Linked DNA regions of Arabidopsis thaliana. The protein of the gene in region 1 binds, or shares a complex with, the protein of each later gene. Each region holds a gene or a part of one and is shown in the gene's direction. Other genes may lie near its edges.

Evidence for each region. The genes of interacting proteins can lie anywhere in the genome.
Region 2: AT1G29070 (region 1) and RPL15 share a complex: the UniProt entries of both Arabidopsis thaliana proteins name them as parts of the 50S ribosomal subunit.
Region 3: AT1G29070 (region 1) and emb1473 share a complex: the UniProt entries of both Arabidopsis thaliana proteins name them as parts of the 50S ribosomal subunit.

The regions. Positions count from the first base shown.
Region 1 is NC_003070.9:10,147,733-10,152,262, forward strand, and holds AT1G29070 (Ribosomal protein L34), read left to right. Parts: upstream 1-2,058; 5' UTR 2,059-2,151; coding exon 2,152-2,365; intron 2,366-3,163; coding exon 3,164-3,423; 3' UTR 3,424-3,675; downstream 3,676-4,530. Other genes in the region: AT1G29060 (Target SNARE coiled-coil domain protein), read left to right, coding at 125-186, 310-433, 871-927, 1,566-1,727. UniProt on the Arabidopsis thaliana protein: This protein binds directly to 23S ribosomal RNA.
Region 2 is NC_003074.8:9,490,555-9,494,417, reverse strand, and holds RPL15 (ribosomal protein L15), read left to right. Parts: upstream 1-1,762; 5' UTR 1,763-1,859; coding exon 1,860-1,943; intron 1,944-2,014; coding exon 2,015-2,378; intron 2,379-2,670; coding exon 2,671-2,822; intron 2,823-2,916; coding exon 2,917-3,150; 3' UTR 3,151-3,363; downstream 3,364-3,863. Other genes in the region: AT3G25930 (Adenine nucleotide alpha hydrolases-like superfamily protein), read left to right, coding at 547-745, 865-956, 1,121-1,233, 1,326-1,386; AT3G25910 (MAP kinase kinase kinase, putative (DUF1644)), read right to left, coding at 3,464-3,863.
Region 3 is NC_003070.9:29,574,039-29,578,380, forward strand, and holds emb1473 (Ribosomal protein L13 family protein), read left to right. Parts: upstream 1-1,767; 5' UTR 1,768-1,958; coding exon 1,959-2,210; intron 2,211-2,518; coding exon 2,519-2,704; intron 2,705-2,904; coding exon 2,905-3,075; intron 3,076-3,251; coding exon 3,252-3,368; 3' UTR 3,369-3,842; downstream 3,843-4,342. Other genes in the region: AT1G78620 (integral membrane protein (Protein of unknown function DUF92, transmembrane)), read right to left, coding at 201-305, 419-542, 690-943, 1,271-1,720.

The DNA.
Region 1 (4,530 bases):
TTTGTTCTCTTCTTTTGGTTGCAATTTCTCGATCTCGAATTTTCTGAGAGAATACAAAACTTAATTTCTCAAACCCCAGCAGATTCGAATTTAGGGTTTCTTACACCCATTAGATTTCGCGTCGATGGCGTCCAATCGCGGTGCGGGTGGTTCTCTATACGGCGGAGCTGATCCGTATAGATCTAGGTATATTTCTAATATTATCAGTTTCTCCTTTTCTGAAATCGATTCTGGATAGAGAAAACGGGTCCTAGATTTGGTGAATTCTGCGTAAAGTACAAGTATTTATCTTTGGTGTGTGATTTGTAGAGAAGGGCTAAGCACTAGAAATGCTTCAGGTTCAGAGGAAATTCAGCTGAGGATTGATCCTATGCACTCTGACCTGGATGATGAGATTCTAGGTCTCCATGGCCAAGTCAGGCAATTGAAAAATGTAAGAAACCCTCTAAATCCCATTTCGATCTTTCTACTTTTTATCTATAGTGCCATTTGTATTGTCTTCTTGTGGTTCTGAAGGATCATTGTTCTCTTTAAGCTTTAAGTTGATCATATGAATTTGGAAATTTGTCTTCTTTTCGGTTTTGACAGTGGTTAGAGCTTGGTTAATTAGTTGTGTAGGTGTTTTTTTGTTCAGGGTACTATGATAATGTTATTGTTCACAATACTTATCAGTCAGTCCACGATTAATTAGTTGAATCCACTTGTCTGATGTCTTTTGTATACATCTGTGGTTATTGTTTTATATCACCACCCTTCTTGAAGGAATCAGTCGACATTCTCTACAATTCCTTGTGTTTTACCTTGCACTTTTGCGCATTATTTATCCCTCATGATTTTTTGTTATATCGTTGATCGCTTATTTTGATGCAGATTGCTCAAGAAATTGGGTCAGAAGCAAAGTCTCAGAGGGACTTCTTAGATGAACTGGTATGTTGTTGATGTCCCTTTAGTTTTTTCTTTATCCATCATAGTAAATTGCAATGTAAGCACTTAACATCAGTAACATGCATTCATTTACTCTTCTTTACCTTTAAGATGAATCACTGATTATATATAGTATATCCGAATATCGGTTTCCTATAACTTGTTTCAGATGTCTCTGTTCATTATTAGTTGGGAAAATATAGTTTCATCCTAACATATGTTAGATAACTTTAACCGTAGCTTACAAAACCAATGAATCTTGATAAATCCAAAGTGTAGATTATGTTTACTTAGGATCTGGTCTGAACGCTGGTGGTGGGTAGGATTAGATATCTTCAATCTCACCTAGTTTGGTGAAATGCAGCAGGAAATGGTTACAGCTTATCATTGAGTTCCTGCCACTTTGTCAATGAGAATGTTGGTGTTGAATGTGTTCATTGCTTTTAGTTCGTTCTAGTTTTTTCTTTTGTTACCTAGAAGAACATCCTAGAGAAGATAATGACAAACAACTAGATTTGGTAGTGAGACTGCAGAAACAAGCATTTAGTGCTGTTATAAGCAAAATAAAATAAGTAGACGAAATGTTGTTCTTGTCTGAAACATAAAACGCTTCAATGGTATTTTGTTTTTGTTTGTGACAGCAAATGACATTGATCAGAGCGCAAGCAGGGGTGAAGAACAACATAAGGAAACTGAACCTAAGCATAATCCGTAGTGGTAACAACCACATAATGCACGTAGTTCTTTTCGCGCTCCTCCTCTTCTTTATCCTCTACATGTGGTCCAAGATGTTCAAAAGATAGATAGAGAGACTCATGGCATACTTGTGTTACCCCCCAAAAAAAAACCCTTGATGAATGTTGGATAAGTTGTAGAAAATATCCTCTAGATTACAAACATTTTGTGGTTCTTCTCGTTACCTGTTATATAGAGTGCCTGTTTTTAACAGTTTACATGAAGCAAAATTGTATCACAGAACAACAGCATGAGATATTTTAGACCAGTTCAAATCTGGCCTTAACTTGATTAATTACCCGTCCGGTCCAATTCAGTATTGGGCTTTTATAGTCTTATGGGCTGAAGTGTCGTGATACGTGTATTATTATGGTTGGTTCTTATGCGTAAGTTTATGGTGGTATCGTCCGTAGACGATAGAGGTTCCACACTATGTAAAGGAGACCGGAGAAACAAAGGAACTGGGTTTGGAGATAAGAAGTGGGAACTTGAATGGCTTCCTTATCCACTTCCGTTGTAGCTTCGGCTTCGTCGCGTTTATGGAATCCTGCTGCCTCCAACGGCAAGATTTGCGTTCCTTCTGCTTCGCTTTCTCTGCGTACGGGTTGTAGACGGAGTTCGTCCTCTCTCACTTCTTCCGCTTCTTCGCAATTGCTTCATTGCTCGTTTCTCTCGTCGCCTGTTTCCCTAGCGTCTCCATTTTCTGGTACATCTTAAATTGGTTCGAATTATTGTTTGTGTTTAGCTTCTGGTGATGTAATGTATCAAGTTCTTTTACCCAATTTTGATTTTTTTTTCTGGTTCTTTGGGTTTGGTTGATTTATCACTATTCTCGTGTGTTAGGCTCTAGCTTACTTTGCAAACACATATATTCGAAGCTTTTTTAGAAGAATTTGGGAATTGTGAAACATAGTTGTCAATGGTGAATTCGATTTGGGAGTGTGAGTGAAAGAAGCCATTTTGTTTGTTTCTGATATTTCTTGTTAAGTTTATAACAACAAGTGAAGATAACATTTTGCAACTTAAGCCTCAATTTCTGATATCTTAGCTCATGTATTTGTAGCCGCAAGTAAATGTTGTTTGATTTTTAGTACAAAAATCTTTTAGCTCATGTCGATTATTTAGGTACAATGGTTATAGATTTGCTTCAATATGTCACATGAACTTGTTCCTCCTCCTTTGATCATAATTTTCTTGTAAAGTATATTGTACGACCATTGTAGCTAGGCTAAGATTTGAGCAGTGAATTATAAGCTTTGCCAATTTAGCAACAGACGTTATGGTTATAGCTCAAGAGTTAAAAGGGTAACCTAGGAGAATGCATTAAAGTCATTTTGGATTTGTCTGGGTCTTGATTCTGAGCAGTGTGTTGAGAGTTTGGTATTGTATGGTGAGTTCTTTGGGTAATTAAAGGAAGGAGTTTACCGGTTCCAATATTATCAGCTTGATACACTATCAAACCTATAATGTCACATTGATCAAAATGGTGTTGCTGTCTTTTCAGGTTTGTCCATTGCGTTTGATCTCAGCAGTCAAACTAGTGGACTGAATGGCCAGAGACGCAGAGGCCTTGTGGTTAGAGCTGGAAAAGCTGCTCTGTGTCAAACTAAGAGAAGCAGATCAAGAAAATCTCTAGCTAGGACTCATGGTTTCCGTAGAAGGATGAGGACCACTAGCGGTAGAGCAACCATAAAGCGTCGACGTGCCAAGGGACGTTGGAACCTCTGTCCCAAGTCCAACCCTAGCAGCGGCAAACGGGCTTGAAGTTTGTTTCTCTCTTCACTCTATCTGTAATCTTGTTTCATGTGCTTTTTTTCCACCAGAAGATACAATGAGAAACATGGTTCGTTGAGCTCTTTTCTGCGTTTTAACTCTCTTGCATCCTTGATTCGTTTATAAATCAATGTTCTTGGAATTCATCACATGTACTACTATACTACTTGCTTCATTGAATTTGTTACTACTCGAAGTCTCAACTTCAAAGCCATAATTACTTAAAGATCTCTTCTGGCCACCAGGATAATTCTGGTGTGTAAGAATTGTTCAGATTCCAAGTAGTGTTAATGGTTGCTGAAAGTTGATGTATATAGTTTGGGGTTCAATCCCTGAAGGATTTTACTTTCATTTACTAGTTTTATTTCAACCTAACAATTACTTTTAAGTACTAACCCTAAATTATATTCCCCTTAAAAAGAAAACTGCACCAAAAACAAACTAGTTAAGAAAAATGAAACCAAAACTAAAAAAGAAAAGTTCCTTCTTATTGGAAATTAGGGAGGGATCAGATTGTGTAAAAAAGAGAGCGCCCAATAGTCGTAACAGGCTTTGGGCGGAACGCTCTTCTCGCAATATAAGCGAGTTTTTACCATTCATCATATCCCCTTTAACTTGCCTGAAGGATCATGCCTTTTACGTAATTAGCTCTTTCTTTTTTATAGGCATGTTACTACCATCACTATCTCTACCTAAACGATGTGGGACAAAATAAACTATTCTCTTGTTTGAAATAAGGTTTCTTATCTCAAATTCATATATCTTTGTTTTTTAAAGTGGGTCTATAAAAGGCCTCTGTAGCTCTCTTTTTTTAAGGTGGGCCGATAAAAGGCCTCTGTATCCTTTTTTTTTTTTTTTTTTTTTTTTGTCTACAATGTAATAGTCTAAAGTTTTAAACCTATCTAGATGAATGAGCTATTTATCAAATATTCGATCCGTGTCACTCCTCTACTCATCAAACTCTTCATAGGAAGGAAAGTCTCCGGTCATAACATAATTCACATACGTTATTATGTTTAAAAGGTGTATGATGTGATGGACTAGCTAGTAGCTAGTAAAAGCCGTGAGTAGGATCTTAGGACGAGATGGCATGAGAAT
Region 2 (3,863 bases), on another chromosome or scaffold:
TATTATTCGATTGTTTTCTTTTTTGATATACAAATGTTTTTTTGTTAGACTTAGCATTGTCTCTATCCTAATTTGAATAAGCATATGACTAGTCTTTTGAAAATTTCAGTAAAACGTTTTCCGCAAACTCATCACAAGTTAAGCAGAATCTGAACCGAAATCTAAATGATCAAGTGATATAACATGGAGATTAAATCACTATAAATCGTTATGTAATTTCTTTAAATGATTGCATATTGTGGGATTGAACTTGAAGTTATAGCGATTTTACGCTTTTGGTTCTAATCCAAACCTACTTTGCCACTACACACGGGTTTAATATAGTATTACTTGTGTGTATAATTTTATTTTATTTTGCAAACGAGAAGAAGCCAGAATCAAGTCGTTAACCCATGCCTTTCAATTACCCAATCACCTAAGATTTTTTTTTATATTACTTCCTTTGACAAGTTAATCCACTTCCAAATATACTATAAAGTTGCACATTGACAAGAGGTTTTAGCAGAAGCTAGAAGAAGAAAGGAGAAGAAGAAACAAAGAGAGAAGATGAAGAATGTTATGCTGATTATTGACGAGAGCAACGCAAGTTATGATTTACTCATTTGGGCACTTGAAAACCAAAAAGATACCATTGAGAGCTCCAAAGTTTATATCTTTGCAAAACAGCCACAAAATTCCTTTACTCCTCCTACCGTACTTTCTTCATCAGTCGGCTTTGCTCAAATTTTCTATCCATTTTCACCTAGTAAGTCATTTTATCGACTAATTTGTTGGGAGTTTTCAATAAATATCAAATTTTCTATCCATTTTCACCTAGTACTTTCTTTTGTTGAAAATTGATCAGTTTTTATGTGTGTTTTGCAGATTCAGAACTCATAAGATTGGCTCAAGAAAAGAATATGAAAATTGCTTTGGGTATATTAGAGAAAGCCAAGAAGATATGTTTAAATCATGGGGTAATAATCTATTGACTGAATCATTTAACTTGTTATTAATACAATATCATATATATATTTTTAAATACCAAAGTTTTAAAAGAAAAAAATGAAGTTCTTTTCATGACAACCATTTGTTGCAATATTTTAGTCTCATGATCTCATCATAATCATGTTGAAAACAGATCAAGGCAGAGACATTTACTGATGATGGAGACCCTAAAGATCTAATCCGCAAGATAATTCAAGAACGAAATATCAATTTAATAGTTACGAGCGATCAACAAAGTCTCAAAAAGTAAGAAACATCTTTTAATTTCAAAATATCAGTTAAAAAACTTAGTATTGATGGAAAAGTTGAGATAACAAACATCTTTTAATTAAATGCAGGTGTACACAAAATACAGATTGTTCTCTTCTTGTCGTGAAGAAAAGACTTCGCAAAGATTAAAGATTAAGGAAGTTACAAAATTCACCAATATATATAATTTTCTATGTGGTTAATTGAGATTGTGTAATGATTTGGGGTTGTAGTTTCAGGTGTTGATTTGGGGTTGTAGTTTGAACTTATAATTGTGTTATGTGTATAAATATTTGTGTTTATATATATCAAGTTAGTATAAATACTATAATTTCTTATCGTTTCTTTTATTGGCACTGGTGTCTTGATCATCCCGACTAATTCAGACATGAGCTTATCTGAAAACCCACTTTGGACACAAACGAATTGATACGAACGAGTAACGACTCTTTTATTGAAAACGAAAAGGCCTAAATTTGCTGTGAAAGGCCCAATAAACAATTAAGTGATTATGTAAGACGATGTCGTTTAACTCTTAAGTTTCTCAAGAAAGTTATCTCTCTCTATCTATCTTCCTCAACCTTATCCTTGAAGCTTTGTTTCATCTGTTGTTCCCTGTGACCATGGCTACTCCACTCTCAATCTCATCAAATCCTCTCACCTCCCGCCATTGTTACCGTCTCCACTTATCTTCTACTTCATTCAAGGTAATCTCTCATTCTTCTACAAATGTCAATTTTGAATGAATCCGTAAAATTGGAATTTGAAATGTGTACAGGGAAATGTAAGTGTTTTGGGGGCAAACCCAAGTCAGATTCTATCTCTGAAACTCAACCAAACCCTTAAAACGAGAAACCAACAGCAATTTGCGAGACCCCTTGTTGTGGTTAGCCAAACGGCGGCTACGTCGTCGGCAGTTGTAGCTCCGGAGAGATTCCGTTTGGATAATCTTGGACCACAGCCAGGTTCGAGGAAGAAGCAGAAGAGAAAAGGTAGAGGTATCTCTGCAGGACAAGGAGCAAGTTGTGGTTTTGGTATGAGAGGTCAGAAATCAAGATCGGGTCCTGGGATTATGAGAGGCTTTGAAGGTGGTCAAACTGCTCTTTATCGTCGTCTTCCCAAACTTAGAGGAATCGCTGGAGGTAAAGTTTTGTTTTTGTTTGGTATCCAAGTTTTGTGTAGCCCAAATGTTCGATGAAATGTCTCATCCAAAAGGCTCTGTTTAAATTTGGTGATGCTGCTTTCAGTTTTATTTAGTTAGGGCACATTTGTTTCATAGATTTAATATTGGGTAAGAGAGCCATGAATTGACAACTATGGATCAAGATTGTAGTTAGTGAATAGAGATATTTCATGGTTCGATTTTGCTAATTAGCTCAAACCAATAGAGATATATTTCTGATGCATCGTTGCGTTACTGTGTTCTTTAAACAGGTATGCGTTCAGGATTACCTAAATACTTACCGGTTAATATCAAAGACATAGAAACAGCTGGGTTTCAAGAGGGAGATGAAGTGTCATTGGAGACATTGAAGCAAAAGGGTTTGATTAATCCTTCAGGGAGAGAAAGGAAACTCCCTCTTAAGGTTAGTTTTCCAAACTTGTTGATCCTACTTCTTTCGATTGTGCTTTCGTCTTTTCTTTCTTTATTTAAACGTTTTGATTGGTCTTGGATTTCAGATTCTGGGTACAGGAGAACTAAGCATGAAGCTCACCTTCAAAGCTCGTGCCTTCTCAACACAAGCAAAAGAGAAGCTTGAAGCTTCAGGTTGTACACTCACTGTGTTGCCGGGAAGAAAGAAATGGGTTAAGCCATCTGTTGCAAAGAACCAAGCACGAGCAGATGAATACTTTGCCAAGAAGAGAGCTGCAGCAGCAGAAGCAGCAACTTCAGAGCCAGCAGCCTCTGCTTAAATTACTTCAGTTTCAAGCTCTTTTTAGTGTTGTAAAGCTGCAGAGAAGATAATTGTCTATGACAAATGTTAATTACAATTCCTTTGTCTTTTTGTATGGTGAAGAGATTTACATTTTGTTGTTTGAAGAGTCATTATCAAAAAGATATTTAAACGGTAATGAAATATTGAACATTTTGTTTCCCAATAGTAGAAACTTTTTTCAATCTCCAAAGAAATTTTACATAATAGGGTTTCATAAGTGGGGTTATTACTACAAGGTTTCCCCCATTTTATCATAAACTCCAAAGACCAAATTTCCAAACTGCAGAGCATCACGGTTCTTCTTCTTCATCATCATCATCAATGACAGTTCTTCTTCTAGAACGACGTCTCCGAGTTCCAGACACTTGTTCATCAGAAGATTGATTATTCTCCTCATCTCTAGGTGATGTTCCTGTATTACCTTCATAGCTCTCTCCCCAAAGACTTGCAGGTCTTGAAGATCTTCTTCTCCCACTTGTATGTGTCCTAGCTCTAGATGTACCAGACCAGCTACTACTCCTTGAGCCACTCGATTCTGGTCTAAACACGCGGATGAGAAAGTACACTGTAAGCAAGCGAGTATCAGCAAATAGAAACCCATCATCGTTACTTATTTCATCTCCTCCAAAAGAAGATTGGAGTGTGCTAAGTAAATCCCCTAAATCGCTCTGCCTTTCTAGCCTCCTCCAG
Region 3 (4,342 bases), about 19 Mb from region 1:
CAAGGAATGGATTCATAAGACGAAAACTTCAAAATTCTGTATTGAATGGAAATCGTTTTCCACTCAAGCCAGTTATCTATCAGTCTTTCTGCAAGAAGTGACGGTATATTCATTTGATTATCATCTTCTTGCATTGACAACAAGTAGACAGAGTGAGATCAATAAAACAAAAAGAAGAGAGTTCATTGAAGTGAGCATACCCATTTGAATCCTTCTTTGTCTTGAAAAGAAGCACCTATTATGCTCTCTCCAAGATTGGCAATCTGGGAAGCTAGTACACATACAGCTGCTTCTGGAGGAGTTATCTGTGTTCAAGATATCAAAAGGAAAAGAAGTTTAAAAATCGTGTAATGATAACAGTCTTTAGTAGCATAAAGAAGCTGTGAAGGGAAATTTTGGTAGCAAATAACACTATTACCTGACCCAGGAAGCAGCCAACAGATGCAAGAAAAAATGATGCTAAAAGTCCAGCCAATGTTCCTTCAAGACTCATAGCTCCCTCTGTTCCTCTTGGTACAATCTTAAATGTCGTAGCTAAATACCTGCGAATTGGCAATGGTTAGTAAGATCATTTCAGTTGTCGATTGGATTCATGTCATGACACCACAAGTCCATGCCATACATCAGACAGAAAACAGACACAGACCATAACAGAAGAGGCTATAGCTGGATAACAGTAGCATACTCACGTTGTTTTTCCATAAGCTTTGCCTATCTCGCTCGAGACAGTGTCAGATACTTTAGTGCAGAAACTGGAAACAAAACCAAGCCGGAAAAGCTGGGAAAAAGCTGCTCCTCCCACTTGATATATTGAAAGAAAAGCACAGACACAACCAGCAGCACTTGAACCAATCACACTGCGTGGTCCTCTTCTACCCTTTCTCTTTTCGGCCACACCTTGTGCTTCCTTTTGCGTCATTTTAACCTTCGTTGCCGCTGTTCCCTGTGATATTGTAAATCATCTAAACCAACTTCAGCGCCAGAATCAATTGCAAATTTACTGTTACTATTTCCAGCTCTGGGGTGAAACACGATATTGAAATCTAAAACTTAAAGCATTGCAGAGAAAAGACTAAGTATCTCAATGTTGAGCATGATCAGAAAAAGTAGCTCCTTAATCTGTAAACGTGATTTAGGATCTCTAACACGTCCACAATTCCTAAATTAAACAATAACACATCTAAAATCTAAGGACATTCTTCATTCATCAGCTCGAAATCAAAATCAAAGCAGCGAATTTCTACGTTCTAAGAGTCAGTTACCGAATTACATTCAGGTTGATCACAAATGCACTTACTATGACGAAGTAAGCAGCGACTAAGAGGAAACCAGCAGAGCCATAAGCTCTCCAAGTTAAAGTACCAAGCAAAAACGCGGCGGCGATCCCAGAAGCGGACAATCCGGTAACAAGAAGCGGTGAACCGAGAACAAAAATCAATAAATTGTTAGCCACAGCTGATTTCCAAGTTGGTGACGCCGATTGAATCAGTTTCATCGCCTCCGTCATCACTCCTTCCATCGATGCAGCCGCCGCCGTAGCACCGTCGGCTCTACTTCCCGACGAAAGCATTCCGTTGGAAAGTGGTTCCAGATTACGTCGTCCAAATCTGTAAGATCTAGCGAATGGAGAGGAAGAAGAAAATCCCGAGAATTTTGGGAATCTTAGTGGTAAAGCTGATCTAGAAGAATTTAAGAGTAGAGTTGACGAAATCGTTGCCATGACTTAGCTTGCTTCCGAAGAAGACCTTTCTCTCCTATTGAGAAAAAAAAAACAGTATTTCGGGTTGAATCCGGAGCTCCGAAAAAAACCCGGATCCTTAACCCGTGTTGTGTTTATTTTTCGGTCGTATTCATCAGATTATTTACGGTGTTGCCACTACTACTATTTACTGAGAACCCAATCTTATCCGAGAAATCGGAAAGAGCAGAAGAAATTTGCAGAAGAGAGAAAAACAAAAATGGCGGTTCTTTGCTCGTCTTCGACGGTGATACTCTCTTCTTCTTCCGTGAAATCCTCCGGAAGTGAGAGAAAGTCTCCGTTTTTAGGGTTCTCTTTAACGGCTATCTCGAAGCCGTCGGTACGAGTCGGCATTTATGCGAATTCGAAAAGAGGATTGCAAGTGAAGTGTGAAGCTGAGCCGACGACGACGACTTCTCTTGTTCCGGCGAATCAACGATGGATGTTCGACGAAGAAGAAGCTAATGGCCCTGTAACGATAATTTTTCTATCTCCCTCTGTGTTTAGCATCTACGCATTTATAAAGTGTCGCACTTTAGCTCTTGCTTTGAATTTGAAGTATGGCTTGTTTTTTTCTTCTCCCAATTGCGATTTATTAAGTAGTGGATTTTGCCTTTGACTCATTAGCTGTGTTGTCTGCATCAATTGGCTTCGAAAATTGATGTTTATTCTTCTGAATTTGTTAACTTGGACGTTTTATGAAATTATTAATGTTTGGTTGGAGAGAAGTTAAAAGTCTTTGGCTTGAAACCTTTATTGAGTGTATTCTATGGTTTACAGGACATCTGGAACACGACATGGTATCCAAAAGCTTCAGACCATGTGAACACGGACAAGCCCTGGTTTGTGGTTGATGCAACTGACAAAATTCTTGGTAGATTGGCATCGACAATTGCTAATCACATCCGTGGGAAGAATCTTGCCTCTTACACTCCTAGTGTCGACATGGGAGCTTTTGTGATTGTGGTATGAGTTTCTTTGAGCTATCTGTAGAGAATAAGAAATTTGATGTGCTGCTTTAGTTAATTTCTTCCTGAAGGAGGAGCCTTGGGATTTGGTTTTAGTAAGATTCACATTAGCAGCAAGATGTAGAGCCTCTATGTAGATGTTTGGGCAATGCTTGTAACTTGGTACCTCTAATACTGTTTTCAATTGTTTGGTTAAAGGTGAATGCTGAGAAAGTTGCTGTATCTGGAAAGAAGCGTAACCAAAAGCTGTACAGGAGGCATTCAGGACGACCTGGTGGTATGACAGTAGAGACATTTGATCAATTGCAGCAGAGAATTCCTGAAAGAATCGTTGAGCATGCTGTTCGTGGAATGCTTCCAAAGGGACGGGTTAGATACATAATCCACAGCTCTTTATTAGTCTCCTTTAAGTCTTAACACTTAGCAAATCCGTGTTTCTTCAAACTTATGGATTGAACTTGGAAACTACTTGTTGCGATATTGGTATTGATTGATTACTAGTTTTCCAACTCCCTCTTAACTTTGGTCTGACCATTTTGTGGCAGCTTGGGAGAGCTCTGTTCAATCACCTGAAGGTGTACAAAGGCCCTGACCATCCTCACGAGGCCCAGAAACCGCTTGATCTGCCTATCAGGGACAAGAGAATACAGCTGCAAAAATAGAAGCTCCACCACTGTTCCATTATCGCCAAGCGCAGAGAGTTTTTTCTTCTCAGGTTTCTGTAGTTTCTTCATCCCAAAACCAGAGGAGGCTTTACAGATTCTTGTTTTCGCTTCTATCAACTCTGTTATGCTACAAAACTTTCTAATTTGAAATATTTCTCGTTATTTTTTTTTGCTACTGAATATCTTCTTCAACATGAAAAAGATGACATGTAATGAATACAAATGCCATAAGCAACAGTAGTCACCATTAACAAAAACTTCCTCTTCAATTGGTAACAAACCTTCCCAATGAGATCACAGATGCAAGGAAAATCTAATATTCATGCCTTAATCGAGTCATTACTTAAAACTGAAATTTTTAATGCTGGATCCAAAATTTGAATGTTAAATATACATAATAATAGGAAATACAATTTGAATGTTTGGAATCGCTAACGACTAATGCTAGATCCAAAATCCGGTTAGTATTCATATCATTATGTAAATTTTGCATCCAAATAAATTTAAAAACAAACAAACAAACACAAAAGATTTTTAAAATCCGACAATAAACAAAATCAAAATTTTAAAAACTATTTTTAAAAATCCAAATAAAAATCTTGAATGTTAAATCTACATAATAATATGAAAACAAGTTGAATGTTTGGAATCGCTAACGACTAATGTTGGATCCAAAATCCGGTTAGTATTCATATCATTATGTAAATTTAGCATCCAAAAAAATAATATTAAAACTATTTTAAAAAATGCGAAGTAAAACCTTGAATGTTTAATCTACATAATAATAGGAAAAACAAGTTGAATGTTTGGAATCGCTAACGACTATTGCTGGATCCAAAATCCGGTTAGATTTCATATCATTATATAAATTTAGTATCCATTAAATAATATAATTTTAAAAAATAAACACATGAAAAAAGATTTTTAAAATCCGAATAAACAAAATCTAAATTTTAAAAAGTACTTTAAAA